Linked DNA regions of Coturnix japonica. The protein of the gene in region 4 interacts with the protein of the main gene of each other region in a pairwise test. Links are inferred from orthologs where the notes say so. Each region holds a gene or a part of one and is shown on either strand. Other genes may lie near its edges. The genes, in order: TRIM36, MAPKBP1, phospholipid scramblase 1, GLRX3, MAP3K3, CA9 and MOXD1.

The links.
Region 1: the proteins of GLRX3 (region 4) and TRIM36 interact in binary tests that used the Homo sapiens proteins (3 or more experiments, as listed by UniProt). The two-hybrid records come from large-scale screens. The link is inferred for Coturnix japonica from reciprocal best matches to the Homo sapiens genes GLRX3 and TRIM36.
Region 2: the proteins of GLRX3 (region 4) and MAPKBP1 interact in binary tests that used the Homo sapiens proteins (3 or more experiments, as listed by UniProt). The two-hybrid records come from large-scale screens. The link is inferred for Coturnix japonica from reciprocal best matches to the Homo sapiens genes GLRX3 and MAPKBP1.
Region 3: the proteins of GLRX3 (region 4) and phospholipid scramblase 1 interact in binary tests that used the Homo sapiens proteins (3 or more experiments, as listed by UniProt). The two-hybrid records come from large-scale screens. The link is inferred for Coturnix japonica from reciprocal best matches to the Homo sapiens genes GLRX3 and PLSCR1.
Region 5: the proteins of GLRX3 (region 4) and MAP3K3 interact in a two-hybrid assay, tested with the Homo sapiens proteins (2 studies listed by BioGRID and IntAct). The link is inferred for Coturnix japonica from reciprocal best matches to the Homo sapiens genes GLRX3 and MAP3K3.
Region 6: the proteins of GLRX3 (region 4) and CA9 interact in binary tests that used the Homo sapiens proteins (3 or more experiments, as listed by UniProt). The two-hybrid records come from large-scale screens. The link is inferred for Coturnix japonica from reciprocal best matches to the Homo sapiens genes GLRX3 and CA9.
Region 7: the proteins of GLRX3 (region 4) and MOXD1 interact in binary tests that used the Homo sapiens proteins (3 or more experiments, as listed by UniProt). The link is inferred for Coturnix japonica from reciprocal best matches to the Homo sapiens genes GLRX3 and MOXD1.

What each region holds. Positions count from the first base shown.
Region 1 is NC_029547.1:64,999,047-65,003,890, forward strand, and holds the start of TRIM36 (E3 ubiquitin-protein ligase TRIM36), read right to left. Parts: upstream 3,282-4,844; 5' UTR 3,173-3,281; coding exon 3,146-3,172; intron 2,239-3,145; coding exon 2,004-2,238; intron 1-2,003. UniProt on the Homo sapiens protein: E3 ubiquitin-protein ligase which mediates ubiquitination and subsequent proteasomal degradation of target proteins. Involved in chromosome segregation and cell cycle regulation. May play a role in the acrosome reaction and fertilization.
Region 2 is NC_029520.1:22,497,620-22,501,674, reverse strand, and holds part of MAPKBP1 (mitogen-activated protein kinase-binding protein 1), read right to left. Parts: intron 2,796-4,055; coding exon 2,710-2,795; intron 2,331-2,709; coding exon 2,037-2,330; 3' UTR 1-2,036. UniProt on the Homo sapiens protein: Negative regulator of NOD2 function. It down-regulates NOD2-induced processes such as activation of NF-kappa-B signaling, IL8 secretion and antibacterial response. Involved in JNK signaling pathway.
Region 3 is NC_029524.1:9,825,905-9,829,318, forward strand, and holds the end of phospholipid scramblase 1, read right to left. Parts: coding exon 3,351-3,414; intron 2,343-3,350; coding exon 2,181-2,342; intron 1,042-2,180; coding exon 982-1,041; 3' UTR 630-981; downstream 1-629. UniProt on the Homo sapiens protein: Catalyzes calcium-induced ATP-independent rapid bidirectional and non-specific movement of phospholipids (lipid scrambling or lipid flip-flop) between the inner and outer leaflet of the plasma membrane resulting in collapse of the phospholipid asymmetry which leads to phosphatidylserine externalization on the cell surface.
Region 4 is NC_029521.1:30,519,338-30,523,392, reverse strand, and holds part of GLRX3 (glutaredoxin-3), read right to left. Parts: intron 3,965-4,055; coding exon 3,763-3,964; intron 1-3,762. UniProt on the Homo sapiens protein: Together with BOLA2, acts as a cytosolic iron-sulfur (Fe-S) cluster assembly factor that facilitates [2Fe-2S] cluster insertion into a subset of cytosolic proteins.
Region 5 is NC_029542.1:2,178,499-2,183,098, reverse strand, and holds the start of MAP3K3 (mitogen-activated protein kinase kinase kinase 3), read right to left. Parts: upstream 3,022-4,600; 5' UTR 2,736-3,021; coding exon 2,732-2,735; intron 1-2,731. UniProt on the Homo sapiens protein: Component of a protein kinase signal transduction cascade. Mediates activation of the NF-kappa-B, AP1 and DDIT3 transcriptional regulators.
Region 6 is NC_029547.1:8,485,578-8,490,339, forward strand, and holds the start of CA9 (carbonic anhydrase 9), read right to left. Parts: upstream 3,023-4,762; 5' UTR 2,895-3,022; coding exon 2,714-2,894; intron 1-2,713. UniProt on the Homo sapiens protein: Catalyzes the interconversion between carbon dioxide and water and the dissociated ions of carbonic acid (i.e. bicarbonate and hydrogen ions).
Region 7 is NC_029518.1:51,616,400-51,620,102, reverse strand, and holds the end of MOXD1 (DBH-like monooxygenase protein 1), read right to left. Parts: intron 1,313-3,703; coding exon 1,145-1,312; 3' UTR 824-1,144; downstream 1-823.

The DNA.
Region 1 (4,844 bases), on a different chromosome or scaffold from region 4:
ACTTCTGACAGCAAAAAGGTCACACCTCAGAGAGCAACGCGACCACAACACCTGTAACATCAGAAGCAAAGAAAGCAAAGACAGCAGCATAACCTAAACATTCAAATGTGTTCTTTAAAGCTCCCATTTCCATATGATTTTCATTGTGCAAATCCGAAATGGCTGGGAAGATGATTTGCCTATGATGTGCCTCTGCCCAACACTCATTATGGGAAACAGAGGGAAAACAATTCCTTCCCAGCTTCAGCACTCTCCTGAAGTTCATGGAAAGGGTATGAAGACATTAGCAAAGCATTTATCTCCCCCAGCTAACAAGTCAGATAGGAAGATAACACAGGACACTCTATCTGTCTGCTGGAAGGGTGACAGACTACTGTGAAGATGGCAACGCCTGCAATAAGCTGATGGTATAGATCTCAATGGAGCAGGAATACCACAAATAGGTCTTTCCTGTCCTGCTGTCAGTGGTGTTAACATAGTAGTACATCTAAACCCTGCGAAAAAAACAGCCAGCTACTACTGCAGAACTGGGAAATGAGTTCTAGAAACCCCCGCAATCAACTCTTTGAAATTCTCCTCCCTTCCAATGCAGGGGGGGATGTGAGAGCATTTGTTTTCTTATGGCTCCTCGGAGGAGCCTCTGCCTCCTTCCTCACACAGGGCTGACTGTGCTGCACACTGAGTTGGACCGTGTCACAGCAGGTTCTTGTTTCTACTCGTGATGAAGAGCGAGATGAAGGTGGGATAACAGGCCAAAGGGGAAGTGCAGCACAAGAAGGCTGCTCCCCATGGACAGCCTCCTCACACTTCCTATACTGTCTCTCACAAGGAGGTCACCCACAGTGCATTCGGCACCTTCCAGGCACCCAGCCTGGGGGCTAAGATACCCACCTTGTCAAAGCTGACAGCTGCAAAACCAGGGAGGCTCTCAGTCCATACATACAAAGCAATGCCAGAAGACCAGACTGTCTGGGTGTGGGGAGGGGGGTGAGGGGGGAAGTGAGCAGACCTCCACTTGGAGTAACACAGTTACCAGTGGGCTCCTGTGAAACTGCAGCTGAGGAAGGCAATGGAGTGTGTATAGAGCTCAGTCACCTCAAGGCTGTCCACACCACATACTGGAACAGGGCTGGAATGAAGATAACTAGCAGTTTGATTCCTTTGAGCAACAGTCAGCCAAGCGATGGCAAGCACAGCATTTACTTATCAAACCAATTTCAGGGAACAGCTGAATAAATCAAAGCGTCACGTAAGTGAAGGCAACGACATCTGAACTTTGAAAACTGGGACGGGGACAAATGTGAACATGAAATGCAAATAGATTCAGGGTGTGTCTTGCACATGACTCTTCCGGAGCACTGCGGAATGTGGTTTTATAGTGGGCAGTTTTTCCAGCATGAAGTCTAAAAGCCGAGATGAGGTTTCTTTTAAGATGCATGGCATGCATAAAATACTTCCAGTGTATCTGTGTAAAATCTGATCACCTCATCCCTGAATTACAGAGACAGCTGAGTACAGTCAGAGTCTGTATACCATGATACCACAAAGTGATACGAGTCCTCAAGCTAAGTGCACCTTAAAGCCCTGAGCAAAACACTGAAAGACTATTAGCACAACCTCCAAATAGCCACAGCCTCCAGTTCTTCAATCACCCAATAATCGCCATCAATGGAAAACAATGCAATGCAAACAGCATGAATAGGGCAGGACAACAAAGCTGCTGACATCTACACCTGGGTGCCCAACAGGACTTGAAATAAACAGGCAATGGCTACAAACAGGGTGCCACAAAGTCAAATGTGTTCTCTGTGAAATGCCTTGTCTTTGAAATTAAAACCTTCCCACTGTTCTTATCACAGAATGAATAAGATCCGTGCTATCCTAAGTCGTCTAATTAACCACATCAGGAGGACTGAGAAGACATTTTACCCACGCAGATACCATTCAGCCCAAGTCAATCTAATACATTACATTAAAAAAACAAGCAAAACTCTGACACGTACCTGATCTACTGATTCTGTCAATCTTGTCCAAGCTAGGAGAAGAGATTCGAAACCGGGGGCTGCTCTGATTTGAGGATTCAGAACCTGCATCAGCAAACGAGTCTTCAACTGTGAACAGTATATCCTTCACACATTTGTGACACAAGTTGTGCTGACAAGGAAGGATCAGCGGGTGGGTGAACAACTCGTTGCAGGCTGGGCAGATGAGCTCTCTTTCAATACTTTTGGTAGGAACCTTTGACAGAAAGAGGAGAAAACCAAGCAGAAAGCACAAGTTGTAAGACACTCCATGCTCATAGAATCACAGAATGGCCTGGGTTGAAAAGGACCACAATGATCATCTGGTTTCAATCCCCTGCTGTGTGCAGGGTCACCAACCAGGCTGCCCAGAGCCACATCCAGCCTGGCCTTGAATGCCTGCAGGGATGGGGCATCCACAGCCTCCTTGGGCAACCTGTTCCATTGCATCACCACCCTGAGGGATGCTGTCCCTACTCATGCCACCCAAGCCCAGCTCTGCAGAATGATGGCTGGTTTTAGCTGCCTTGTGGCAGTGCTCTGGTTAACACTGCAAACAAATCTTTATTAACATTTATGAGAGTCCTTGCAGCTGAAAAGCACACGGCTTCTACGCGAACTTGGTTCATCTTTAGGTTATGTCTGCATTGCAGGGAAGGAAAGGAGACAAGTAAGATTAATTGCACCTTGGGACGTAGCGGCACGAAGGCAACCACGCTTCTTAACAATAGCAAGCCACACATTTAACTCAGCTTCCCTGCTCGTCACTTAGGGGAAAATTAAAAATAAGCGTCCAATTGGGCAGACAGCGGCTGTAAGTCGCTGTCGGGCACCGGAGCTGCTGTGGTTTACCCAGGGTAGAACTGGAGCCCTGCACAAAAACCCGGTACCGTGCGGGTGGGTTCCCCGCCGGGAGGAGAACCGATGCCAGCCACCCATCACCGGCAGCACGGCAGCACGGCAGCACGCCGCCGCCCCGCGCTCACAGCCATTCGGAGATAAACCCCCGGAGCCGTCAAACAAACAAAAAGACATAAAAATACCAATACCCCAATACAAAATATCCCAAGCGCGGCTCAGCCCGACAACCCCCCGGACAAAGCCGCCCCCAGCCCGGCGCTCACCTCGGTCTCCAGCCCGTCGCCCTCCATACCGGCCCCTCCTCCTGCCGCAGCGATGGAGACGGACCGGGCCGAACCGCCTTTCCGGACCGAACGGCGGCAGCGCACAATGGCGGGACGCGGTACCTGGCAGCCGCTGCGCCGCGGGGGGCGGCCACGCCCAGGGAATGAATGGCAGCGAGCGGCCGGCAGGGGGCGCCGCGATCGGTGACAGCCAGATGTTTGCAGCTGCACGAATCCTACACTCGTGCTTTGGCATTGACCAGGTTTCTGCTGTATGAAGCAGCACAGTGCAGCCCTAAATAGATCGGGATATCCTGGCAGCTCTACTGCCTTCAGCATACACGTTTGAGGCCGCTGGGAAGCTCTTAAATCCAAATTTTGCAAGGCTGTTTTTCTTTCATGCTGCTTTTCCACCCAGGGCTCCTCTCCTGAGCTGGCTGGCAGCAGAGCCAGTGTGTACACAGCAGGAATAGAGGATGCCTGTGAGGTTTGTTCCTGACCTACTGGACAGAGCAGGCATTGTCCTGGGGACTGAGCCACCACAGAGACCCTTTTCACTCTGGGCCATGGAAGTAGGTTATGTTGGGATGGATGCAACAGGGTTTTAGCACACATTAATCTATGTGTAAGTTGTCTGCAGTGGGATCTTCTCTTCTTAGCCCTGAGGAGCTCAGCCTTGAAGATCACTGTTTTCCCTAGCGTTTTGTCAGTCATGCAGGTTGGACAACATGCAGCTCAGCAGTAAGAATGGATTTGATGCTGCCTTAAAGAAATGTGCCTGCTCTGCCTTACAAAGGCAAGCTCACCTTTGCCTTCTTGATGATTGTCCTTCAGCTATATCTCACTGACATGGGTGTATCTAAGTGAAAGTAAGGATGGTGTGAGGATTTCTGGCCTTAAATATAAAACTGTCAAGCCCTAGTGCTCTGGTTTGGCTTGTTTATCTGCCCTGCAGGGATGTGCTACAGGCCCATGATCTTCATGGTTCAATGGGTTTCCTATTGAATCCTATAACCTGATCAGCTGGACAGAACAAATTTGGAAGGTCACATTGCTGCTGCACAGAGCGCTCAGCCAATAAAGACTGTGCTCATCAAACTACCACAATACTGAGGTAATGCTCAGCTTTGGGAACTATTCTCCTTTGGTCAGTGTATCTTTGCTTTTTCACCTTGTGCCGTGTGTACTGCATTCTGCTTCATGCATAGGATGCCTGGCAAGCAACAGCATCAGGGATACAAGGACCAGATACAGGCAACAGTCTGCAGAGCAGACACTGCTGTTCCCCTCCATCCTTTGTAATCGCTTGCTGAACAAATGAAAGAACTGTCATGAAAAGGTTTCTGGTAGCATCCATTTTTCTATGGAAATGCTTCTAGATTTTTTCAAGAGAAATATCATTTAAACTATTCCTTATAAATCACAGATCACAATGAGAGTAGAAAAAGATGGCAGAGTGGAGTGAATGAATGAGACAATAGCAAAAGAGCAGGGATTTCCTTTAAAAAATGGAGCGTGCTAAGGTCCACATCTCAACAAAATCAACAGCTGTTTCTTAGGGATCCACACCAGGGTTGCTGCCCTGGATCTGAAATTCACACTAGGTTTATATCGGTTTATCTATTTCATTCTACTTGTAGGACAAGTATTGTTATCAATTACAGCATCAGGAACTTTTTTGTTTACAGTCGTTTTGAAG
Region 2 (4,055 bases), on a different chromosome or scaffold from region 4:
ACACCTGCAACACTCAATGAGGCAGATTTACATTAGGGACAAAAGCAGTTGGAAAGCTCTGAAAGCACTCCACATACTGCCACATTGCAAAGAACTGAGCAGCAGTGATCAGGCAAGGTAACAGTGACAACTGCAGATTATTCAGCCCTGGATTCCACTGAAGAAATAAGCCATCCTACACCAGTCTGGCTGGCCCAGTAGTAAAAAAGGCTGCACTGCAAATCCCCAGTCACAGAAAGAGAAAGCAAAGCTAATCAACATATTGCATTTCTGAGTGCCACAGGGCTTCAAAGAGATGACAGCCAGGACAGCAAAATGAAAGAAGACTGCTTCAAGCTTCCAGCCCACAGAACAAACTGATGCAGTCTAGCTACCTTTAAGCGAACGCCACAGACGGTAGCATTCTCTCATGCACATGAAAGCTTGTTACTTGCATTAGTTTTATAAAGCGGGAGTATAAATAAGAAGCGGTTTTTAAGCTCTACCTTAAAATAAACGCAAGTAAATTAGGAGATTATAGAAAGGAGTGAGAATTACAGGGGAAGGTACTGAAGAGTTTCACTGTTGGTACACTGGGGGGGCGGGGGAGGGTGTTGTTTGTTTTATAGCTTATTGTTGACTAATAAAATATCACTGGACAGTTTTAAGTCATAATAAATAAAAGTTAGCAGAGTCTTAGAGAAGGTGAGAAGAATACTGTACACACAAATGCAAGAGGTGATGATTTTCCATGTCAGCCAAGAAATCAATGGAGAGAGGCTGGGGGTGGGAATGGCAATAATCACATTCAAAAATATTTTGGTATATTCTTGGAAAACCATTTTCTGTGGGTAGCTGAAACAGAAATACAAAATGGACAAGAATCCCAGCTCTCTTGGGATGTAAGTATTCTGTTTTCCTGGAACAACAAGAAAAAATACCTTTTCTATCAAGCCTGTGAAATCAACAAATCATACAAGACAAGCAGTTGCACTGAAGAACTCTCACATCCAGAGTTATGCTGTTGGAAACCAGGCTTTCCGTGTGATCTCTCCACAAATCAATCATATCCCCAAATTTACCAGTATTGATAACATCAAAGTTGATATCCAATTCCTAAATGTGAAAGGTGGCTGAAACGAACTTTCCTATTTGTATATAACCCCCTTTTAAAAATGTCTGCAGAAGAACATCAACGTAACATCAAATTCCAGATTAAAATTATCACTACTGATTTTGTCAGGCAACTCCAAAGCTTGGCCCAAGGGCTATGGAGTCTTCCCCCTGGAGGCGAATGAAGATAAAACACAGCTATGAGGACTGTCTTGTGAAACAAAGGGAAAAGCAGACAAGAGTAGTCATAACAACAGTAGGATTACTCCAAGTAACAAACTATGGAAGGAAAAGAAAGAACAGCAAGACAAAATTTAAGCAGAAACCAGTTCATTAATTGCACAGACACTCCAGCCTGTCTCCCTCTTGGAGATTTATAATACAGAGATTGTTTCTCGCTGGGATATGGCAAGAGATTGACATTTTTTTGTTAAAGGATAGTTACTGGTCATAAACATGACACAGAACAACAGTCAGAATAAATTAATAAATAAACCCATAAAAAGTCTGCTTCTTGATTCTCCTAGAGTTTTGGAGAAGGGATCAGCTTCACTTGGACTCCTTTGTTTTCAGTCCGCAGTTCAGAAGTTCTTGGATAAATGAGATTTTCTTTGTTTCTTTAGGTGCCAAACATCCTGATCTCCTGGCTAGGAAGAAATTTCAAGGCAATTTCTCCAAACTCCTCTTTCAGAACTTTGTCTAAAGACAATCTAGAGACAGGAAGTTGAAGACGACTGGAGGGAAAAAAAAAACACTAAAATTGTGTCCAGCACATTCCTAAGAATTAGAGCAAGCCAACTGTAGGAGCCTGAGGAAATCAGTTTATAAAGGTCACCCCACCAGCTCTAGACCAGTGTGATGACAGCATTGGTCTGAAGATCTCTCTGTGGTCCTCCTCTTCGGATTATTTCTGTGCATTCACAAACACCTGAAAGACGCTGCTTTTAGAGTTTTTTGTCCATGCGTCGTTCAACAGCTTGTAACAATAACTCCGAGTACTGTTCCAGCAAAGCTAATGTCTGTTCGTCTCCTAAACTCTTGGAACTTGGTAGATTGGCACCACATTTGTCATTTATTGACCTAGCAGTATCTTGTGGCTTCATCAGTACCTCCTTAACCTTTGGCAGTTCTTCCTCATGCTTCAGGGAGTCCAACTCTTTCTTCATTAAGGAAAATGTTTCTGTCAGGAGGCCTGCTATTTTATCTTTGTCAGTAGATGACTCTGTATCATTTAGCACCTGAAAAAAGGGGATAATAAAATGTAAAGTTCCTATAATATTCTGTATCTCTGAAACATAGTATAAATACTAATTCCCCAATTGCCCTTTGAAAAAGAGCATGCTGTTATTTTCAGTTTACAGATAGACAAAACAGTTTGGCAAGTTAATTGATTTGCTCAGAATGCCATAACAAGCCACTGGAAAATGCAGAAGTTGAAAAATCAAGAATACTGCCTGCCCAGTTCAAGCTTAGGTACGGAGAAGTAAACAGTCAGGCAGCTTCTGCCACTGAACTCACAGTACAGAGAATAATTAGAGTGTGTAAGCACGCATATTCTGTACTCTTGGGCTGTAAAACCAATCTGTTAAAATAGATCCTGTGTCAAAGATCACTCACCGCATGGTAAAGATGAATGGCTTTGCGCATGCTGTCCTGGAGCTCTGATACCACATGCTCACATTGCTCCACACTGATGCTTGGTTCTGAATGGGAGGAAAAAATAAAAAAAATAAGTAAGATACAGATACTTCAATATCTGAGATCTCACAGCTGGGTTGAAAACATTTCTTTACACATATTCAGAAGATCATGTGCACACAGTTCTTATTCATTTTTGTTCTGCATGAACTTTCCTTCATATTACTGACAGATGCTTCTTGTTTCAAACATTCCTTTTTTTCCATTGCCTAGTTTCTTCAAAGTCAGTAATGGTCTCTATAGATTACACAGTGCTGTTACAGTCAATGACAGTCAGAGATCACATATGCCATTTTCATTCATAGTTAAATTCAACTTCAAGTCTTCCAATAGCAAAGGGTTGTGATCTGAGGAGCCTCTAATTTGGCATCCACCTAATCTGAAACCTACACACTCCCCTTTATATACTGTTCTGCACCATATACAACAATGAGCTATGGGAACAAAGGAGTATGTTGACTTATTACAGTGTTCTCTAGCAAGGACTGAGCTCTAGATGACTGCTGACTAACACAATCATAAAGGAATCACACTCCTTAATTGCTCAGGGTACTGTGACACTGTAATTCAAAGACTGAAAATAAAAGGAAGGAACTGAAAAACACCACTTTCTTCCAGCCTTTCACTGGGCAATACTTTCATAGCATCAGAGCTGAAGGCCTGCAAGGCTTTAATAAACACTTCCATGAGTTAAGACGTAAATCATGAACAAGGACACTGACACACACACAGTCTGCAGTTATCTTCAATTTAAAATAGCCTAGACAAAGGGCATTCAACTTCCTTTAGTTACCTAAAAAGCAGAACTTAGTCACATTACTTCTATTATTTCTGCACTTCACAAAGGTTATCATTGAACAGGTGGAAGGGGACCTCATCTAATTTCATTCAATAATTTCATAAATTCATGAATATATACAGAAGATGTATAAATGCTGCTAGACGAATATTCACTCATATGTACATGTTGAAAAGCAAAAAGGTACATGAACAAATCCATCTGTATTCTTTTTCCTGAATCACTCAGCCCTGTAGAGTTTGAGCACAATGGGCTTCAGTTCCATCCAAGGTTCTTGCCCTGCTACCTTTATAGGTTTTTTTTGCCATACCTACTCCCACCTTTTCCCTCCCACTCCCTCAAAACAGTTCTTTCTTCTCACTATTGTTCCTGGATTTCTCCTCTGACCATGGTTTTATGCTGGTCTCAGTTCTGTGAGATGCCAGTCTGGAGAAAGGTCACAAATAAAATACAAATGCTTGAATAA
Region 3 (3,414 bases), on a different chromosome or scaffold from region 4:
GACTCAAGATTGCAGAAGTTCTTTACTGTTAGTATACCAGTTCAAGCAAATCTGCAAGGCTTAGCTTCTTTCTTACAATAAATATTTTCCCTATATGGTTTGATGTGAGAGACAGATGTTATTGTTTTTTGTCTGATTTTGCATGCAGATTGGACTGAAGGTGCTTTCAGGCCTTACACTGAACATCTAAGCACAGCAATATTGGAAACACAAGATTCTGAGTTACCTGGAGGAATGAATATAGGCCCCTAGTTATGTCCCGTTAGCCCAAGGTTCCTATTACCTTGCTGATATTTGCATTCACTCTTAAATTGGTCCCTTGATAAAAAATTGATGACAAGATACTTTTCAGCAAGTATTAGGAACAAATGCTTGTGGTTGCTTCTTTTTAACAGTCTCCTCTAGCTTCTGTTGGTGAAAATCAAAACCTTAAGTTTCAAAAGAGCCAAAATTAGGGAACTAAATGAATCATATGAGAGCAGACTCATAACTAGATTAATACAATTTTTACAGTGTATTTTGATAGTTCTGTTTGTTTAGATTACTTTGTTTTGAATGTATATACTTGGTAAGCTGGAAACAACAGAATACTAACACCAAGCCAAAACTACCAAAGAAGGATACATACGAAACGATCAGAACCTCTTTATTAGGCTGACTGCTTATATTATTATTGAACAAAGAAATAGATCTCTTTTTTAAGAATTAAGTTTTTAATACAACAATTCCAAATTTCTTGGAAAAAAGGCTGCTATATATTTCTATACATTACATTATTTATCTGTACAGACAAAAAGTGCTTATTTGAATACAACAGTGTCATTAGATTACAGAACTAGAAGCTAGACAATAAAGCTTTTAGTTTATAGAAATATAATTACAAGTGCAAAAGGTCCATCTCTCACATTCTCACTGGAGCTCTGTAATCCTCTGGCAAGTGGGTGGTTTATTTTCTTCCTTCTAAATACAAAGTTCTAGATTTCACTGCCACACTCCCGTTCGCTGATGGCTGTCACCAATGCTCTCAAAAAACATGAAGTCCTAGGAAGGAAACAAAAAGCAAACAAACTCAATCCTTTTAAAATCTAGATCTTGGTTTGTGGTACTTTTGCAGGTATTCAAAGCAATTACTCCCCAGAAACCTTACATGACAAGAAGCAGCTGGGAATACCTCTCTCCAACCTAATTCCTGAGTCTCTTGTAGAGAAAACGAGGAATCCACAACAAGAGAAAAAAAAAAGTGGTAGAAGACTGAGATGTTTAACTTTATCATTAGCAGAAGGCATGTTTCCTTTACTTAGGATTTCCATCCTAACTTCCTTCAACCTGACTCAAGTCCCTTCAATATTACCTCAAACTGGATTCTGCCATAAAGGTCTCTATCTTTACAAAGAGGAGCCCCATATTCTGTGCCTGAGGTCCATGCTTCTTCATACTCCCTACTCTTCACCTACATCCTTGCACCTGAACACACACAGCTAAGGAAAACCTGGTCCATATGCAGGGCTGTAAAAGCTGGTGAGAACTTTCCAAATGCAGATGCTGCAACAAGCTCTTCCTGCCCTTCCAGAGCCCTACCAAAACAGAAACAGAGCACTTCTGAAGCAGTGCCTGATGCTGAATTGCACAGGTAAGTGGAAACACAAGCATGGCAGAGTCAGAATGCTGATGAGGACAGTATGAAGTTAGATGTATTTTGCCCCCATATAAGACTCTGCCCATAGAAACGATCCCTCTGAGAGTATTTAATCCTATTCATCTCGGTGCTTCATGTATTTCCAAGAAGGATGAACTGGATGCAGCACCTATCAGTGGTTCACCACCTCAGTGGGCTGTTCCAGCCTTGGTTGGGCCTCCTGGCTAATGCTGTTCTTTACTTTTCTGGTCTCACCATCCACATAAACATGCTTGCCTCTGCTTATGAGTCTGTAAAGTTGTCTTTTATGGGGCTTGTTAATCTGATTGTGTATAAAGCTCCTTTTAATGTAGTCAGCACTTCATGTAGACTAGAATAAGCTTATTATCCAAAATATTCCCTCCAGGGTTAGTTTTACACACAAGAAATTGACCAAAAGCTCTCAAGCGCTTCAAGGAGCCCAAAATCAAAACCTTTATCAACACAATTTAAACACTGAGATGAAGTCAGTTCATATTCAAATATCAGTAAGCTACAGACTTACGATAAGGAAGCAAGCACCGAGCATGACAGCTTTCATTTTTACATCAAGGTCCATTGGAAATGAGACTCCAAAGTTATCAGTATCTGTAAATGCTTCTTTCAAAAACCCAGACCACTGCTTAGAAATCCTCCCAATAGTAGCATCCTCATCCAAAGTCTTCACCTATTTCAACATAAAATTTAAAAAAAGAAGTTATTAAAGAATCCACAAATTCTTTTAATTATAGATCCATCAGAAAGATTTAAATTGTGTTATTAAAGTAATGCAGTCACTGAATGCGACTATTAGTACTGAAAGACAAGCCAGACCACCAGAAAGTCAGAGTGAAGTAACACAGGCATCAACTTAATTCTAAATCTGATGGGAATTCAGTGTTTCATTGGTGTTGGAAGTCAGCTTTTACATGCAAACATGTACGTGTGCATGTACACACACTCTGTTGGGAGTACTGTCTTTTAGCCAGCAGAGTCAATTATTATATCCTGCCATGCATCAGGAAAGGCTCAGGGGAAAATTAAACAAATTACATTCTCTCATTCCAAAAGAGAGGTTAGCCCTTTCTTAACGTTGTTTCCTAAAGTTACACCCAGTGTTCATAGTTCTATGAAAGTGTAATCCCCCAAAATAAAATCAGACTAAACTCGCTTCAGCGATTTACAGTATCATTTTAAACAAAGTTTAGTTAGTTTATCTATTAGTTAATTTGTATGAAAATGCTAATACGTTAATTAGTATTCTTTTTAAATAATAGTTGTAATTCTTCAGTCATTCAAATGTATATTTTAGGTCTAAATCATGACTTACTTGGTTAGTGAATGACTATTAAATGACTGGACAAGTGGTTGTAGAAACTCATTTTAATAAACAGCTAATACAACTTTTTTTCCTTTTAGGGACTAACATCATGGATTAATAAAGACTTTGCTACCAAATTTCCATTAAGAGAATGGAAATCAGATCACTGACGTAATTTCTGAAAGTTTGGCAGGCTTTTCCAGAAGGATCTGCCTACTTAGATAACTTAATTGACTATATCAGCATTAAAAGATTATGTTTTAATTATTTTGTATATACCACAGTGCAGTTGTCTTGTAATAAGAGAAGCAACAGACTACTATCAAAATACTGCTTGAAAGAAGATATATACAAACAATTCTTAGTGTTACATACCTCAAAATTAACGTCCTCACAACAGCTGCAGACGACACAAGGGCCACTAATTTTCAGTACATCC
Region 4 (4,055 bases):
ATGAGCATCATGGACCTTTTCAACCCAGGCCATTCTAGGATTCATTCCATACTGTGGATATTTACTTCATAAAGAAAATGGATGAGAAGACAACTGCAGTAATTTACAGCGCAAGGATGCCTAGCACTTGATCATTAGGACTGACGATCAAAACTCCATTCATATCCCCATTGTTTCTCTGTTTGCCCTGCTAAGAAAACTGCCAAATATACAACAGCAACATTGAAACGTTCTGCAGCTCTGCTGCCTTCCTAAGACACGATCCTTATCCTAACTATTCCAACACCTCCTGCAGTTGCTCTCACGCTCATCCCTTCTAATGACATACATCCTCCTACATAACTTGTAGGGCTTGCTAAAGTAATCCACGAGAATTTGCCCATGAAACAACATGATGATAATGTATGTTTCATTTCTTTGTCAGCTCATTTTGCATCAGAGTCAAATGTCCTTGCAATTCCATCAGTTCCCTAAAAGAACTCCTACAAACCCTGTGCAGACAAATGAAAACCTCTACACAAGTGTTAAATAAAAGACAATGCTTAAAGGCTTTAATAAAGGAAAGAAAGACATAAAGAAGCTTTAAATGGGAAAAAGAAAAGAATCAGAGGGCCACACAAAAGTAACCTTTGATTTCAGCTCACACGACCACCTATTAGTTTTTGAAATATGGATTTTTACTACAGCTTTCTGCAGCTTTCACTGAATTTATTGAGATATGAAATAGCAGTGTTTCTATGGATGGCATCTAAGTTGCTTTTCTTTCTACAACTGGAGTGTTAAGTTCATGTACAGCCTGAAGTAAAACACAGATTCCGATATGGTTTTTTTTCCATCCATCTGGGAGTTCATTAGTAAACAGCTAAAGGCCGACTGCTGATGGTTATTCCATCACCAATGCATTAACTTGTTTCTACTGTAAGAGACGGGGCGGGGGGAAGCTTTATTTTAGCTGCAGGCAATTACATGCAAACTAGAAAGATTGATCGGTTGTGTTTCATTTTGAAGGGCTATGGTAGCAGCCTGGAAGTGTTACACTTCGGGACAAAGTGTCAGAACAGCTTTAGTTTTGTAACAAAAGATTGAGGTTGAATTTCTGAAGAAATACTACACAAGAATCACGAGTAATAATTAAACTGCAAACAAAACACTCTCAGCAATTATCTTGAAAATCACAAGTGCCACTTCAGCTACTGCAGTGATAAAAACTGCCTAAATAAACGACTTTGTCAATGAAGCAAACAAATACTTCCACAGGCCAAAAGAATCTGATGAAACAACACAACGTACATAGCAATCACACACACTCTCCAATAAGCACTCAGCCTTGCTTTACACTATGCTTAGCTGGCTTTACAGTGAGGAAATCAAAGTACACGAGACCTCAAGATCCACTGATGGATTGGGATCCTCCCCTGCTCACCAGCTGCATGAAAGGCATCTGGTCTATTCTTTGCATCAAATCAATATACATCACAAATGTCTTCTTTCAACAGGCACAGCTCCTTTTATTCAATCATATTTATATTATTCCTACTGCTGTTATAGCAGATCTGTATTATCTTTGACAAAGTGTTACATTATCTCAACTTGAAAGAGGCTTTGTCTACTCCAGGATGTGAAAGCCAACTTACTGACATCTTCCAGCTCCTGCCAGGAGCCATCAAAGCAGTCTAAAGCAAGTATAGTATTTAATTACAAAATTAAGAGCTGTAAATTCAGATTATTTTCTATCACACTATGTGATAATATAATAACTGACGTGCAAATACTAATACAGTAGAAGTCTGATGCAGTTCAGGATGCCTCTATGTGTACAGGGCTACATGCCCTTGTCCCTCTACAACCTTTTTACAGCAGCAAATGGTAAAGTGGCATGCACACATTTAACAGCAGCTGGAATGCTGTGTAGGTACTGAGAGCAGAGGCAGGAAGAAAAGAGACACACAAGCCACACAAGTGCCTGGGCTGAGCTGCCAGGCTCCTCCTGCCCAGCCCAGCAGCACCAATCTCTGCAGCACGTGGCCCAGGCTGACACACACCCAACACGTCACTTCTTCCCTTTCAAATATTGTTTCCTGACTTTTACATACAAGTTTTCCTTCTCAAAAAGGGCACCAGGCACTGTACTAAACTCCCTCCAATTACCAGCATTTGACAGACAGACAGTTCTTCTCCTGTCCAATGCACACAGTGTCAGCTTCTCCCTGTAATTCCATCCCAATAGGCCCAAGCAGTAGATTCACTGTCGCTGCCACTCTGCTCAGCTCCCTCGTCTGTCAAGCACAGGTCATGACCTAAAGCTACCTGAACTTAATGAAAAGGCTCTTATTTACTCTATGGACCCAATCCTCGATTTCAATAAGCAGTGCTACAGACACATCTCTGGAAATATAAATCCTGTAACATGCTGCCTGCACAGATACAGTGCAAAATAGCAGAGGCTCTTTTCTAAGTCACATAGCACAAGTCTGTATTATCTTCACCAAATCAACGTGCTACAATTTGCATCCTTCCAAATTTAAGTAAGCTGACAGGGTGTGTAAAGTCAGTTCCTTCCAGGTACTTGCACAGAACTGCACACAGTTCTTCTATTTAGTTTCTGGACACAGTCCAATGGAACACCCAAGAAATGCTACAGAAGCATATCTGCCTTTGAAACTTGTGAGCTAAATCTAATACTCAAACCATGATGAGATCTTCCATGTGTGGAAGATAAGCAGCGTTAGCACAGCACAAGGATGTCTGGCAACTGATACCACATCCCTAACTCACCACACCACGCCACCAGCTCAGACCAAGCATTTGTGGGCTCCTGACTGGTAGAATGTGCTGAGCCCTTACCAACTACAACAGGGGTCCAAAGTTTCACATAACACTTTAACTTGGAGCAGCGCTCTCTTTATTGGTTCTATAAATATTTGCCCATTTCCAGCAGCTTGGACTGTAAGGAGTTACCGTTTCTAGCTCTTTTCTGATTTTCCTGTTACACTTAGAAATTCCTTCACCTTTTTGGCCCAGCAATATAGTTAGCACAACTTGCCTTACAGGAGGCATGCACACATAGCAAAGGAACCCAGTCTTAAACCTATCTCAGCATTAGCTGCTTCATAAAAGGAACTGCAGACATTGCAGTATTTAATCTCTAGACCAATACAGTGAGAGAACAGAGACAAGTCAATGCAAGATGGCAGCTTCATGGCACCTAACCTTGCTTTTTAATAATTGTTCACCTGCTTTCCTACAGATCAACACTAAGTCAGCTGGGAATAAAGCACTCTTAATTCTTGTTCACTGTTTATAGAACTAGGCTTAAGTAAAAGCCTTTCCGCTGTAACAGACATGCTACTGTCTTTCAGTTTTAACAGCTAGTGCAGCTTTGGTTTCTTTATCCAAAATGACAGTGGTGATTCTGTTTGTTAATTCTTATTATACCCCAAATTGAATCATTCCCTTCAGACTATATGACACTTCAACTGGTGAAATGATACACAAAATACAGTGACTGAACATGAGGAATGTCTAAGGATAGCATTGCACGTGTTCTTCTGGCAGTACCTGATCTTTGTGATGCCATTTCCTAAACTGAAGCAAACACACAGCAATTCTCTATCTGTAGATAAGCAATACGATGGTACCTCTATTAATGCTTCCAAGTATGCAAGACACCACTGGGATGTAATTCCACAGTACTGAGTACATCTTAAAAGTAGTCTAAAAGTAGCATTGCCACATTAAACATGAACTTCAGAAAATCCTTACCACAGCGAGGTTCTTTTGGAGACCCCTTCATAAACAGCATGCAAGGGGCAGCATTGATGAGTTTCTTCAGACGTGCATTAAGATCTTCTTTTGCACTGTCATTAGAACCAGCAGAAACTGAAGTGCTGGACGCGTGGCGTTGGACTTTTTTGGTCAGCTCTGGGGCATGAGCACCATCTAATCTGTCAACCTTCTGAGAGTTCTAAAGAAGCCAAAATACAGGCACATGTTAAAGGATTACATTCAGAATGTGAACTGTCACAAAAAACAGTAAAGCCACCATATAAAATACA
Region 5 (4,600 bases), on a different chromosome or scaffold from region 4:
GCCCAGAGCCACATCCAGCCTGGCCTTGAATGCCTGCAGGGATGGGGCATCCACAGCCTCCTGATGCAGGCTGCAGCTTAGATGTGCAACTACTTACTAGCTCACTTGTGCACTGACACAACTCTGCAACGTGAAACTCTTCATGGCAGCACCTGGGTAGCAGCAGAACCCCCTGGTGAGCAGGAAGGGTCGCAGCACTGCTGGGTGCTCCATTCACCTGCAGGCAAGCACTAATGCTATGATCTTACAGCACACAGCCACGCTATGCCACGCAGCAGCAGGTGGAGCTTATGTGATGTTAGTATCACAGACTGGGCTACCATCTCCCTCAGACAATATACAGAAGAGAATTCATCCTTGTTTTGGTGGGAAACAGAGTATTTATCATTTTTTAACACAAAATCGGTGTGAAATACACATTTGCCAAAGGAAGAAATGTTTCCATTCAGGACAACATTGTGATGGATTTAATGTTACCAAGCATGAATACTTCTTTCTTTCCATCCAAAGAGAGGATTTGCACAGATTGGCTTTAAGGGAGTATATGCAGCAGCATCACATTAATCACACAATGCAAAAGTTATTAGGAATGAAAAATAAGCAATTTTGGAAGCTCACTGAAGGACCCTTTGCTGCTACGTCTCCAGTAGGTCTGGGAAACACAGCTCTGCTTTGTGCTCAAAGATGTTGTCCAGGAAATGCTTCTCATGTTTGAAAAACTACACTCACGGGTTTTCTACCATCGGATAAAGGGGAACTGCTGCTCACAGAGAAAACCCTTCATCCTCATAACGCGTTTATTTCCACGCGTACAGGGTTTGCTCCACGGGGTCGAGCAGGTCGGTGTGTTTGCAGTGGTACAAAACAGGAATAGGGTTAAAGAAAAACAAACAAACCCCAAAGTAAAAGCGTCTGCAGAGTGCAGAAAAGCCTGTAAACCTCTATGATCCAGGATGGTATTTTATATAGCATGATAATAGAAGGCACTAGAAGTTGTTTGAGAAAAGCAAACACACGCATTTGTTATCTGCTGCCACCAACAGCGATGCTGCTGGCTATTCTGCCAGCAGAACCAGGGGCAACGAGCAAGTTTATTTCAAACAGAAAACTTGGCCTGAAGGTTTAGAAGAAAAAGCTGAGCATCCCTATGGAGCTGGGATATGTATCTGAGGTTCTTCACACTGAGAAATTCCTCACACTGAGGATTGTAGCTGGCATTGACCGACCCTGGGCTCAGCCCCCTCCCTCCCCCAGCAGTGGGGGCTGTCACTGCACAGCGCCAGGCAATGAGAGCTAAGGGAAGGAAGTGACACAGGCAGGAAAGCAGAGCAGGCCGGGGAGAGCCTCAGCAGCAGGACTGCAAGGAGCACTTCACTCTGGGCCTGAGTGCTGCTCCTCCCCTCTGCTTCCCACATACACTCACGTTTCTCTGTATTAGAAGCAAGTGAGCCTATTGCTGCTGAGGAGCTCTGTTTGGAAAGCACAGGTTTGGAAATGACTGCCCTTTCTGCGAAGTGCCAGCGAGCTGTGGTTCTATCAATGGAGCTCAGCAACCTGCAACACTGACCTCTCAATGGCAGCACTCATCTGTCAGAGAATCTCATGAGAAACAAGGTGGGAGAAAGCTCAGGGTCACAGCAAAACAGTCTCTAAAAGATCTGCTCACAACAGCCTAATGAGTTTGGATCTCTCCCTTTGCAAGCAATCAGTATTGCCATTACAACACGACCGTGGAACTGTTCTTCTTCATCCCGTGCTCACGTGTTTATCAAGAGGCATCCAACAGCCCCACAAAGCAATTCCATGGAAGCTCTGCACCCTCCTGGTTGGCTGCTGTGAGTTCTGCACCATCAGGTTGGCTCCTGCAGAGATAACACTGCCTGGGGAACACCAGACATCTCTCTTTAGAGAAGAGGAGCCCACTTATAGACCTGCCCATCTACTGCATTTATACAATAGGCATTTCTTGTAGGTCTTGCTGTGCCTGGGATCGTCTCAGGGCACAAAGGGAACGGAACATCCTGCATTTGCTTGGAGTGACGTTTGCAATGCAGTTACAATATAAAGAAGTGAACATATTACATGCACAGACTGAACGCTGAGGGAGTCCCACAGCACCAAACTTGGAGGAAGAATCAAAGCTACGGCCCACAAAGCGCTGCAGGTAACAGCAGTGATTCCCCTGCCAGCAAATGAGTCAGTTCTGCTTTACAGAATCACAGAGTGACCCGGGTTGGAAGGGACCTCAAGGATCATGTAGTTCCAACCCCCCTGCCTAGCAGGGCCACCAAACATACACCTTTACTAGATCAGGTTGCCCAGGAGACCCCATAGATCCCCACAGAGACCCCATAGATCCCCATAGACTCCATAGAGACCCCATAGATCCCAACAGATCCCCATAGAGACCCCACAGATCAAGTTGCTCAAGGCCCCGTCCAACCTGATCTTGCTTTAGAAAAACTACATCGTTTACCGCTGAAAAGCAAAAAGTGAATCGGGTACCAACACCACAAAGCCCAGCCCGACTTTATAAGGCCAATATCGAGGATTTAAGACCCCCCAGCCCGACTTTCTAAGCCCAACATCCAGATTTAAGGCCCCCCCGGCCGTTCCCCCCCCTCCCTCAGGCGACGCCCCGTCTCGTCCCGCCCCCGCCCCTCATCCCAATCGCGGCCCAGTCCTGTCCGATCCTACAGCCGCCCCCATCCCGCTCACCCCCCGTTCTCACCCATGGTTGTGGGCTCTGGGCCCGCTCCGTGCGGGCGGCGCGCTGTGGTACGCTGCTGTCACCGCCGTCTCTCCATGGCGGCCGGGCCGAGGGGGAGGGCTCAGAGCCGCCGCCACATTCCCAGGCCCAAACAGCCGCCTCCTTCCGGCGGCCCCGCTCCGGGCTGCGGGTTGTGGGGCCGGGACTCGGCCGGTGCCGGTCTCTCCCCACCCGCCGCCGGCGGCACCGAGCGACCGGGCCGCGAGCAAAACAAACCGCTCGGCCGCCACCGCGCACCCGCCGCCGCCGCCTGCCAATCACAGGGGCCGACCCGCCGCTTTCAGCCAATCAGCGCCGCCGAGCCACCCACCCGACGGCACAGCCCGCCAATCGGCTCGCCGCTCAGACAGTCGCCAGCCAATCGTTGGGGGTCGTGCTGCTCGCTGCGCTGACCCCGCCTCCTCGCCCGCCAACGGAGGGGACCGGCCCTCAGCCGGCTGCCAATCAGAATGACGGGCGGCAGCGAGGCCCCGCCCACCGCTCGGACTGCGCCGCTGGGTCCTAGTGCCCACCGCTCCCGGCTCTTCTCCCTAAGGGCTCAATATGGGATGGGAAAGGCAAGGGGAAGGGGGAAAAAGGCAAGGGGAAGGGGGAAAAAGGCAAGGGGAAGGGGGAAAAAGGCAAGGGGAAGGGGGAAAAAGGCAAGGGGAAGGGGGGAAAGGCAGGGGGGAAATGGGGAAAGGCACGGTGCCTTTGTTGAAGTTACTTGGTATGAAAGTAAATCCACATGGATGAGCTTTAGGTACACGAGGCTGGAGCTCACTCAACCCCTCTCCTTTCATTTAGGGGTTCATATTAATGAGGATGTGGTTGTTGTGTCCTTAGAAATAGAACTGCTCACCTGTGCCATTCATTCACCTGCTGATGGGCTCCTGATGGCTCTTCCTCCTTTAACATTCCCAGCTGCCACCTCCCCTTGTGCCCATAAAGCAGAAAACATCCCTGCTAAACACAACACAAACATGCCATGAGACAGATATTAGGGCAAAGAACTGCTGTTCCTGTCCAATCTAAGCTAATAATTCTACCTCAAGCTCCATAAATCAACTCATCTTCTAAAAACAGCAGCCAGCCTTCAGCTGCTCTGCCCTGCTTCCATTCCACCTTGGGGGTGTATTTGGCATAGCAGAGGGGTTTTGTTTCATTAAGAACAAGTCCAGCTCTCCTTCCTCAATGCAATGATGGCCACCCTGCTGCTGGGAATCCCACCTTGAGCAGATGGCTTCAGCAGCTGCTTGTCTATCCAGCAGACATCTAACAGCAAGCGTGTTGTTTTCTAAATGTTTTCATGTCTGAGAGGCTGCATCAGCTGGAAAACACAGGAAGGAAAACTGGATTGGAAAGGAAAAATTGCCTAAAGTGAGGGCCAGGAAGAGTTCAGGGCATCACCAAATCATGATGATGTTATCTGGGATAATGAAAAGATCCTGCTACGCCAAATGAGACAGACAAATCAATCTGTAAAGGAATGCTTAGATCAACAGATCTGAGCCATCAAGGGCCAGAAGCTGTGCACAGAGCCAATCATCTCAGCCCTGCCTTTGGTTTTGGAGCAGAGGGTTTCCACACATATCACCTTCAAGTTCCCATCCGAAAACACAGCCCAACATTACCAGTGTTTAGGCTCATTTTTAGCATCTCTTGTATCACTCTGAAATTACAAAACTCTTTCTAGTTTTCCTGTACATTCGTGCCCAGCTGTTTGTTTTCATGCCAAGATTATCCTTTCACTTAAATTATCCTTTCCTCTTCCCTGGTGTTTTCTCTCTAAATACATCAAGAAGATAATCATATCCCATTTCAGGCTCCACTTTAATAGATGAGTAAGCC
Region 6 (4,762 bases), on a different chromosome or scaffold from region 4:
GGTCCCTTCCACACGGGGGCATTCACAATCCCACAGTCCTTTGGCATGCACATTTAACCCTCTGCCCTGCCCAGCCCAAATGCAATCCCAGCCTCCATCCCAGCTCCCCGCTGCAGCACGTCTTCTCCCTCTGATTGCTGCTGAACTGCTGCCATGCACCACAACAGAGGTGATGGTGCTGCAGCTCCCTGCAGCTCCCTGCATGCCCTGCCTTGCCTCTGGGCACACTCAGCCCTGGCAGGGGCTGTAATGTGCTCCCAAAAATGTGCATGTAAGGAAAAATGTGCTGCATTAGGGCTTCAATGAACATGCTGGGAGGTGTGAGCAAGGAGAGTCTCAGCAGGGAAATACTGTGGGGCTCACAGGGGCAGCAGCAGGAGCCAGCTGCCACTGCAGACAGCACAAAGGCACTGTGCTTGGCCACGTGGAGTCCCTCTGGTCCCGACTTGCTCCAAGCCCACCCCTCCCCTGAGCAGGGGGTGTTTCAAACCCAAGAGCAGCCACACTTCCCCCTTTCAGCGTTTTCTCCCTGCTGTCCTCTCCTTCTTTCCATGTTGGGATCCCAATGCTGCTGCCGGATTACTTTCTTCCTGACGTCCAACACCATCCAACAACACCTCCCCGCTGAGTCGGGGCGGGCGCTGCCATTAGCAGTGCTCTGTTCTGCATGTCCTGCGGCCTGTGAGCAACGCAGCTGCTCCTAGCAGTGGGGGAAAGCAGAAAGCTGCAGTCTGCTCCCAGAAACATCCCCACGGCTGCAGAGACTACACACCCGTAGCTGTTTGTACAGAGCAAGAGCCAACACCAGAGAAAGCAGAGGGTCTGTGCTCTCCATCCTCAGATGGAAGGTCAGTCCACAGAACAGAGCAATATGGGGTGTGCATCAGGACACACAGATACATCATGTCTCAAAGTAGTGAGCAGCACAGATCAGTCCCAGCCTACCACACATTCAGGCACCTTGTCCTCTGCAAGTAATAACCCGACCAAGGTACAGAGGCTGTGCCACTGTGCTCATGCTGCCCGCAGCCAGCTCCCCAGGCACAGAGCTGGTACAGGGTGCAGAAAATGTCCAGCATTCCCTGCTAAACTGTACAAAGAGCCTCTGCACCTCATGGACAGGAAAACAGCATTCCCCAACCCGATCTCACAAGCATAGCCCCTTTTTGTCTACCCAAACCCACAGCCATGCAGCCCCAGCCATCACTGTGCGCACTGCCCACGGGGCACTGATCCTGGCTGCACTAAAGCCCTTTTGTGTTTATTAACTTTGGCCAACAGCGAGCCATGGGGATCAGCCTTTAATCCGTACCGGAGCTCAGGTCGCCGCAGGGATTGTTCTTTGTGCTGCTGGGGAACAGAGGGGCCCCATGAGGCAGGCAGCATCCCATGGAGCAGTGAGAATTTGTGGGGGGAGGCACAGGGCAGGAATGGCCCCCGGTGTGTTCCTGCTGCCTGTAAAACCAAATAGCCCTGAAGAGTGCCAGGGGAAAGTATGGGGTAAAAGTGGGGAAATCCCAGGAAAAGACTGGGGCTTGAAGCAAAGGAATGAGTTGAATCAGGGGGTTAAAACAGAGGAGGGAGCTCAGATGGAGGAAGAGAGCATCAGGGAGCAACGAGCAGAGGGGACACAAAGCAGAATGGGTTTGAATAGGAGGGAGAGAACGGATAGGCTGCACTACTACAAAGACACCAGAGGTTCCTCAGGCTCCCACGCTGGGAAATCTCATGGAAAGCCTCACAGAAGGCTGCAGCACGTACTGGGAGCCACCAGCCTGGCCCCATGCAGGAGCTGAGAGGAGGGGAAAGAGACAGGAATGCATATGGGACCCGGCCCCAATCCAAGGGCTCTAGCCAGACCTTCACCGAGGGCTGGCTACTGCTCCTTGCCACATCCTCTTCCCATCCACATCCCACCCAGCCCTAGCCATGCTCACAGCCGCACAGAGCCGGTGTCACCCAGCTCCCTCCCACCCTGCGGCGGAGTTTCTCCATCTCTGTGGCAAGGAGCAGCGCATCCCCAAAACCCCACGCACAGCCCAACAAAGACTTGGTAAGAAATGTGAATCACCGCAATAACAGCAGCAGCTCGCGGCACCCTGTATTTGACACCAGTGAAGACACACTTTGAGCCTGGAAAGGCGAGCCCACGGGCAAAGCAAAGCTGGGACGGGGACATCCTTGCGCTGTGCTCAAACCGCACTATCCCCAAATTCTGCTGAACGCCACAGTGAGAAAAGGGACCGAGACCAAAGGGGCTGAGCATTATCCCTCCAAAATGACCCCAAAACTTGAAAGCCCCCTGCGTGGGGTGAGGGGAGGCACACAACAGCACCTCGTCCCACGCTTCCCACGCTGCCCCCATCCCACCGCCCGCCGTGGGGCAGCCGAAAGCCCCGAGCCCCGGTGGGAGCGGAACGCGGGGCGGGGACACGGACCCCGCGGGGGTGAGGAGTTGGCGGGAGCGGGGACAAAGGCAGCGGCGTGCGGGGCTGCGAGGGGACGCGGGGCTCCGTAACGGGAAGCACTGCAGCCCCAAAGCCCAGCGAGAAATCGGGCATCCGTGCGTCGGGATAACACGAAGCCGGCTGCGGGGTGCCCCGTGCATGGCATTGCCCCCTGCCTCGGAGACCCAAAGCCCCCATGGTGGGGGGGGATCCCGCCTGTCGGGACCCCGTAGGCAGCGCTGTGCAGCCCGGTCTCTGCCGCTCACCTCTCTCCTGGGAGTGCGGAGCGTTGTCCTCGTTGTGCTCGTACTCCTGCCCGGCGGCGGCTCGGCCCAGCCCGGCCAGCAGCAGGACGCAGACCCGCAAAGCGGTGCGGTTCATCTCCAGCAAGTGCGGCGTGCGGGACGGCCCGCGGCTGCCTGCTGGTCGGGACTGCCGCGCATACATGGGAACAGGAGGGGGGAGGAGGCAGCCCTGACTCAACGCCGCCGTTACCTTTTATAGAGGCTGGAGGCAAAGTCTGCCGCCGCCCGGCCCGGACAGGTGAGCCACGCCGCCGCCTCCTCCCGCACCGGGACTCGAATCCGTGACACTGGAAGGACGGAGGAGGGGGCTGCCCCCGCCCCCCGGCATCGACGGCACCTGAGTGGCCCCTGCGCAGGGGGGGGGAGGGAGTGAGGGGCCCACAAGGGATTCTACAGTGATGGATTCCTCCATCGATGGAAGCCTCTATTGATGGGCGCCCACAGTGAATAACATCTCCAGTGAGGGACCTTTTCAGTGTAGTCTGAAGAAGTGTGCAGGCAGTAATGGGATGGAGTTAGCTCTGATGTTAATTTGGGTCAGGGAAAGGCTGGAGTGGTCCTGAAGAGTTCAAGGGGCTATGGTGGGTTGTGCTTGGGCTGACCGCAGTCTGTGTTATAGCTGGGAAGGAACACAGTAGTGCAAGCAAGGGTGCAAGAGGGTGGATTTAAATCAGGTATTGCAGCTCACAGAAGAGATACAAGTCACGGAGATGACAGCTGACTGCTTGCCAAGAGAGTGAAGCAAACATTAGGGATTATCAAGAAGGAAACAAAGAACACAACAACAGAAAGAAAAAAATATGGAAAGAAGAAACAAACCCCAAACATTCTGCTGTTGTATAAACCTCTGGTGAATCCTCCTTTCGGTTATTACCCTTGGTTTTGTTTCTCCCATCACAAAAGATAGAGAAGCAGCACATGCAGGGGCTGGCTGGGCACAGGAATGGCTTCTGCACAAGGAAGGAGCAAAGCAATATGAGACAAAGTCTATGGTCTTGGCATCACAGGTCATACAGGACCAGGGAGCCCAGAAGCACTGACTCCTTGGGTAGTGGATTTACAGCACTGTCAACCCATGTTGACTAGCAGGAAGTTTGAGACCAACCAGCAAAGTATCTGTTTGTAAACTGCAGCAGGGAATGGGGGAACTCCTTCAGCTGAGCGTGTAATTTGTGCCTGTACAAGAAGATATCAGACAAGTTGCTGGGCTCCTGGCACCACGGGTTCCTGCTCTCCCCTTTAGCAGGTGCCTTACCTTGCACCTGGGGTCTCTAGGGATGACCTGAAGGTGGGATCAGTGCACTCCCAACCTGCAGGTTTTATCCTGATTCACCTTGCTCCTATGAACACCAGATAAGCCGAACCATCAGATAGGAAGACATTTATTTGTCAAGGCTCAAGGAAACAAGACTGTGTGTGTGTGTGTGTGTAGGGGGGGAGGGGAGGGACAGAACATAAAATGCAACTCAGACAGCCTTTCCTGCTCACATTCCTGTAGGTTATCCTACAGGATAAAAAGGAAGAAGAGTCCTGGTCATTTTAATGAACAAAATGGAAGAAGAGGAAGAAGTCTGGTTATCTAGGAAGGACAGAATCAATCTATCCCTTTTCCGGCCAAGCCCTATGCAGTTCTCAGCTTACACCTGGGCATACTCCTTCTGTTCACTTGTCAGGTAGGTTGCCTTGTATTTGTTGTTTCTATTCTGCACAGCTGGAGTCACTCTGAGGCCATCAGCCTTGCTGCCCTGCCTTAGGTTTCACTGTCCTCCCTCTTCATTACTCTTCCAGGCTGCACGTATACTATCACAGAAGCTGTAATTGCACACGTCTCCTTTCCACCTCCTGTGCCTTGTCAGCTTTTTGTAGAGACGAAGATAACTGGCAGTCACAGACACTGGAGGACAAAAGGTGAATTTGTGGGCAAGCCACATTGGATGCGTAGTCAGGGAGTGCAGTGGGTTGTGGATCGTGGCCTCATCCAACAAGCCTGGCATGCAAGTTGGAAAAGCA
Region 7 (3,703 bases), on a different chromosome or scaffold from region 4:
CCTTATTTTCACAGCTGACCTCCAGTAATGTTTATGCTGAAATGTGGAAAATGTATAGTTAACTGCAGCTACTGTGTGCCTATGGAAATGAGGGCTTAGGGACAAAGTAAGTCCTTTTCCAGTGTGTTGCATAATATCATTGGGAATTAATTAGGTATCTTTAGGAAAATTTCCCTCCTGAACAACATCTCAGTAAAGAAGACACAGATTTTCACATTTAAAAAAAAAAAAAAAAAAAAAAAAAAGTCATACAAGGTGTGTGGTATGCAAAAAATAAGCTCTTTATCAACACTTTGGCATATCAGGATGCTTGGCATGTGCTAACAATAGCTGCTGGCAGGCAGGCTTGGACTCCCTTCTCTGTGCATACCAGTACCGAGCATTGAGAAAGATTGATCTTCATCAGTTCTGCTATATCAAGGTTGTGTACAACAAGTGTGTGCTAGCCTCACCAAAGCTCTGCTTGACCCTACCCAATACCTTAAGAAGAAAGAAACACTGAACTGTCAGGGACTGAAGAAAAGATGAAGAGAAGAAATGAGGAGAGAATCCCCTGGTTAGCCAGGGACTCCTTGTACAAGAATCCCTATGGGGAATTTTGGGGTTTTGTCCCTATTTTCATCCATTTAACAACTGTGGCAACTTGTTTCTTATAAGAGGAGTGACCAGTTGCAACGTGTTGCTCCTAGACATGTTCCCCTGAATAAATCCTCCCTGTGGCTGTACTACATGTGCCAGTCAGAAATACCCAAGTACATGTTTACTTCTTAACCTGCACATATCAAGAACCAAGACAAAATAATAAAGCATACTCCAGGTTGAATGTGATTAACTAAGTTTCTTTTAGTTTATTAATTTCACCCATATACATAGTTGGTATTGAAAACATGATGTGAAGAGCCAGGACAAAGTGTAACAAAACTGTATGTGAAAAGATTTCAATATGCAACGTGCCAGTGTACCTACTGTGTTTTGTATATACTTTACATTGAAAACCAAGTAAACCACAGTTTTCAAACAAAGTACACATTTTATTTTGAACTAGCAAATTTAGTTTATTAATATGTAAAAAAATAAATCTACAACAGCAACAGTGCAAACACATCAGAACTTGCATGGCATACAGAACACAAATGAATAAAAATTATTGTACAAAGGGCCCAAAGTTTCCTATGGTACTGTATGTGACATGTACCACAAACAACAGAGCGAGGGATAAACTGCAAGGTAAACAGGAAGATGAACTGCATATTACTGGTTCTGTCTTGTATGGTCTCTCTACCTCAGGAGGAAAAGCTGTCATGCCTTGGAACTGCAATTAAAATGAAAAATTATCAGTTTCATCATATAAGATTAGATCCGTCAGAGCTTGCACAAGAATCTGTTGTTAGCTTTGTATTGTAGTTGTGGATCTTACTGTGAAGACATCAAACTCAGTAAAAATACTAATATATTACTTGTCAAATGATCAGCCAGTGAGTGGATCTACTGTTTTCAGCTTGGAAACAGCTGTGTACACTGGCATCCTCTCCAGTAAACAAGGTTAGGCTTTTGTTTATTGATCTGCATGACCTTGCTATGTTTTGTGGGATTTTCTGGCTGGTTTGGTTTTTGTTTTCATCTTTCTGGAAGATGAAAATGGAAGATTACAGTGTTACAGTGCTACTGAGATATTGGATAATATCTGAAAGCATTCATTTGCACATACAAGGCTTTTACTTATATGTAGAAGGCAGTTGATGGTGCTCACATTTTTATCACTTTAGTTCTACAGAATCAGGATGACTGAGATTGGCAAGGACCTCTGGAGGCCATCTGTTTCAACTCTCGACTCAAGCAGGGCCACCCAGAGCTATGTCATGCTTCTATATATTGGGCATTTTTACTCTTCTCTTAGAACTCAGTGTAATTTTTATGGAGTATGGCATCTACCTGTCTGTCCTGGCTTTGACATGGAATCAGAGAGATTTAGGTGCGCCACTTAGTTATAAATCTCCTAAATCTACTCCATGCTTACATGGTTTAATTCCTGAATTAAATGAAACATTGTCAGGTTTATGTTGAAGAAAATTAGTTCTATGATGAGTGAACCCCTGGGCACAAATATTTTTGAAGGTCTGAATGTCCAACTGTACAATACATGCTCGGTGGTTTTCTCTACATTGCAATTATCCTGCACTTCAGAGAAAGAATAATCCAAATACTGGCTTATTCCTAGACAAAGATAAAACTGATTATTAGGCTATCCCTATAGTAGGATAAAGGAATTTTCAGTTCACTTCCTCCACTTCATGTTTTTACCTTCTTGTGACAACTCGCTGCATAGCCTTTCAGGTTAAATCTGTTTCTGATTTTGATGAGTACAGCCAATTACATGTAATATCCCTACTTAGGGAAGGAAAAGGAAAGAGCCCTAATCTCAGCTTTGAAGAATATGACTGAGTCATTTGAAATAGGAAACTAGTGATAAAGAGAGAACTAAGTACTCCCAGTTCCAATGAACTCGGTCTTTGAGAAAATTAAGACCCAAATACTATTCCTTCATCCTGTAAGATAAAGTGAAACAGCATTTTCCAGAAAGCAAACCACTCAAAGAATAAAGAAGCCTATCCACTCCTGATAAAAATTCTGAGTGTTTTCCATCTTCTTTAATTGTTCTCTCACTAATAATCAGTGAAAAAGTGGCTAAGTAGCTGCTACTGGACAGCAATTAGCCAAGAATCTTACCCCAAACCAACGAATAGTCACTTGCTCTATTATTGCATGTATTCAATAACTACTCTTCACAGAAAGTCTGCAGTGGGGAAAATATTAAAAAAAACATATATCTGGATCTCTTTGATTACTTATAGCTCACAGTATTTTACTGCCCTCCCATGGGCAGAACAGTCCAATGTTTGAGAGACCTTAGGACACTGCTGCTGGAAGGGGAATTTCTCCACTACCTGAAACTACTGTGTGACATCTCAGAAGCAACAGAAGCTTTTCTGCAGAGTGACAATTTCCTAGGTCCTCTCTCATGAGTAGTATTTAGCATCAGCTCTGTTAAGCTGGATTAAAATCAGTTAGGAAATGAACTAGCAGAATAAGACAATTTCCCCTCTGGGGAGAAAAAAATAAAAAAAAAATCAAAAAAGTATAATCAAATCTTGAATTTGGAATCTGTAAAGGATTTCAAGGAGCAATGCATGTTTTCCAGCGGATGACACTAGTAGTTATTTACAAGCACATATCAACATTAATGATAAGAGTTTTTCCCAGAGGTCCTGCTAATATAACATTAATTTAGAATAAATAACAAATTAATGGGAAATTATTTTTATCTTACAGTTTTTTCATCAAAAGTACAGGTAAAGGAAAACTATCAAAGTTATAAATCTTCCAAGAAAGAATGCATAAAAAGATGGGCAATGCTTGATGCATTTTTCTGACCCACTACTACAGATATCTTTAAGATACAGTACCAACAGAAAAGAGATGTTGGAAGATTTGTATAGATTTAAGTGGTTTAGATATATGAATTAAAGAGCAGATTCTGGAGGCTTCCTTATGTAGCCAATACAATCTCCCCTACAGAGCAAGAAGAAAGAAGAAATATAAGAAGAAATCACTTCTCTAAATTGAGAACATGGACACCTAATCTGAATACATGGTTATTCCTAAATACAGTGGAAGAGACTGTATTCCTGTTATTAATCCCCAA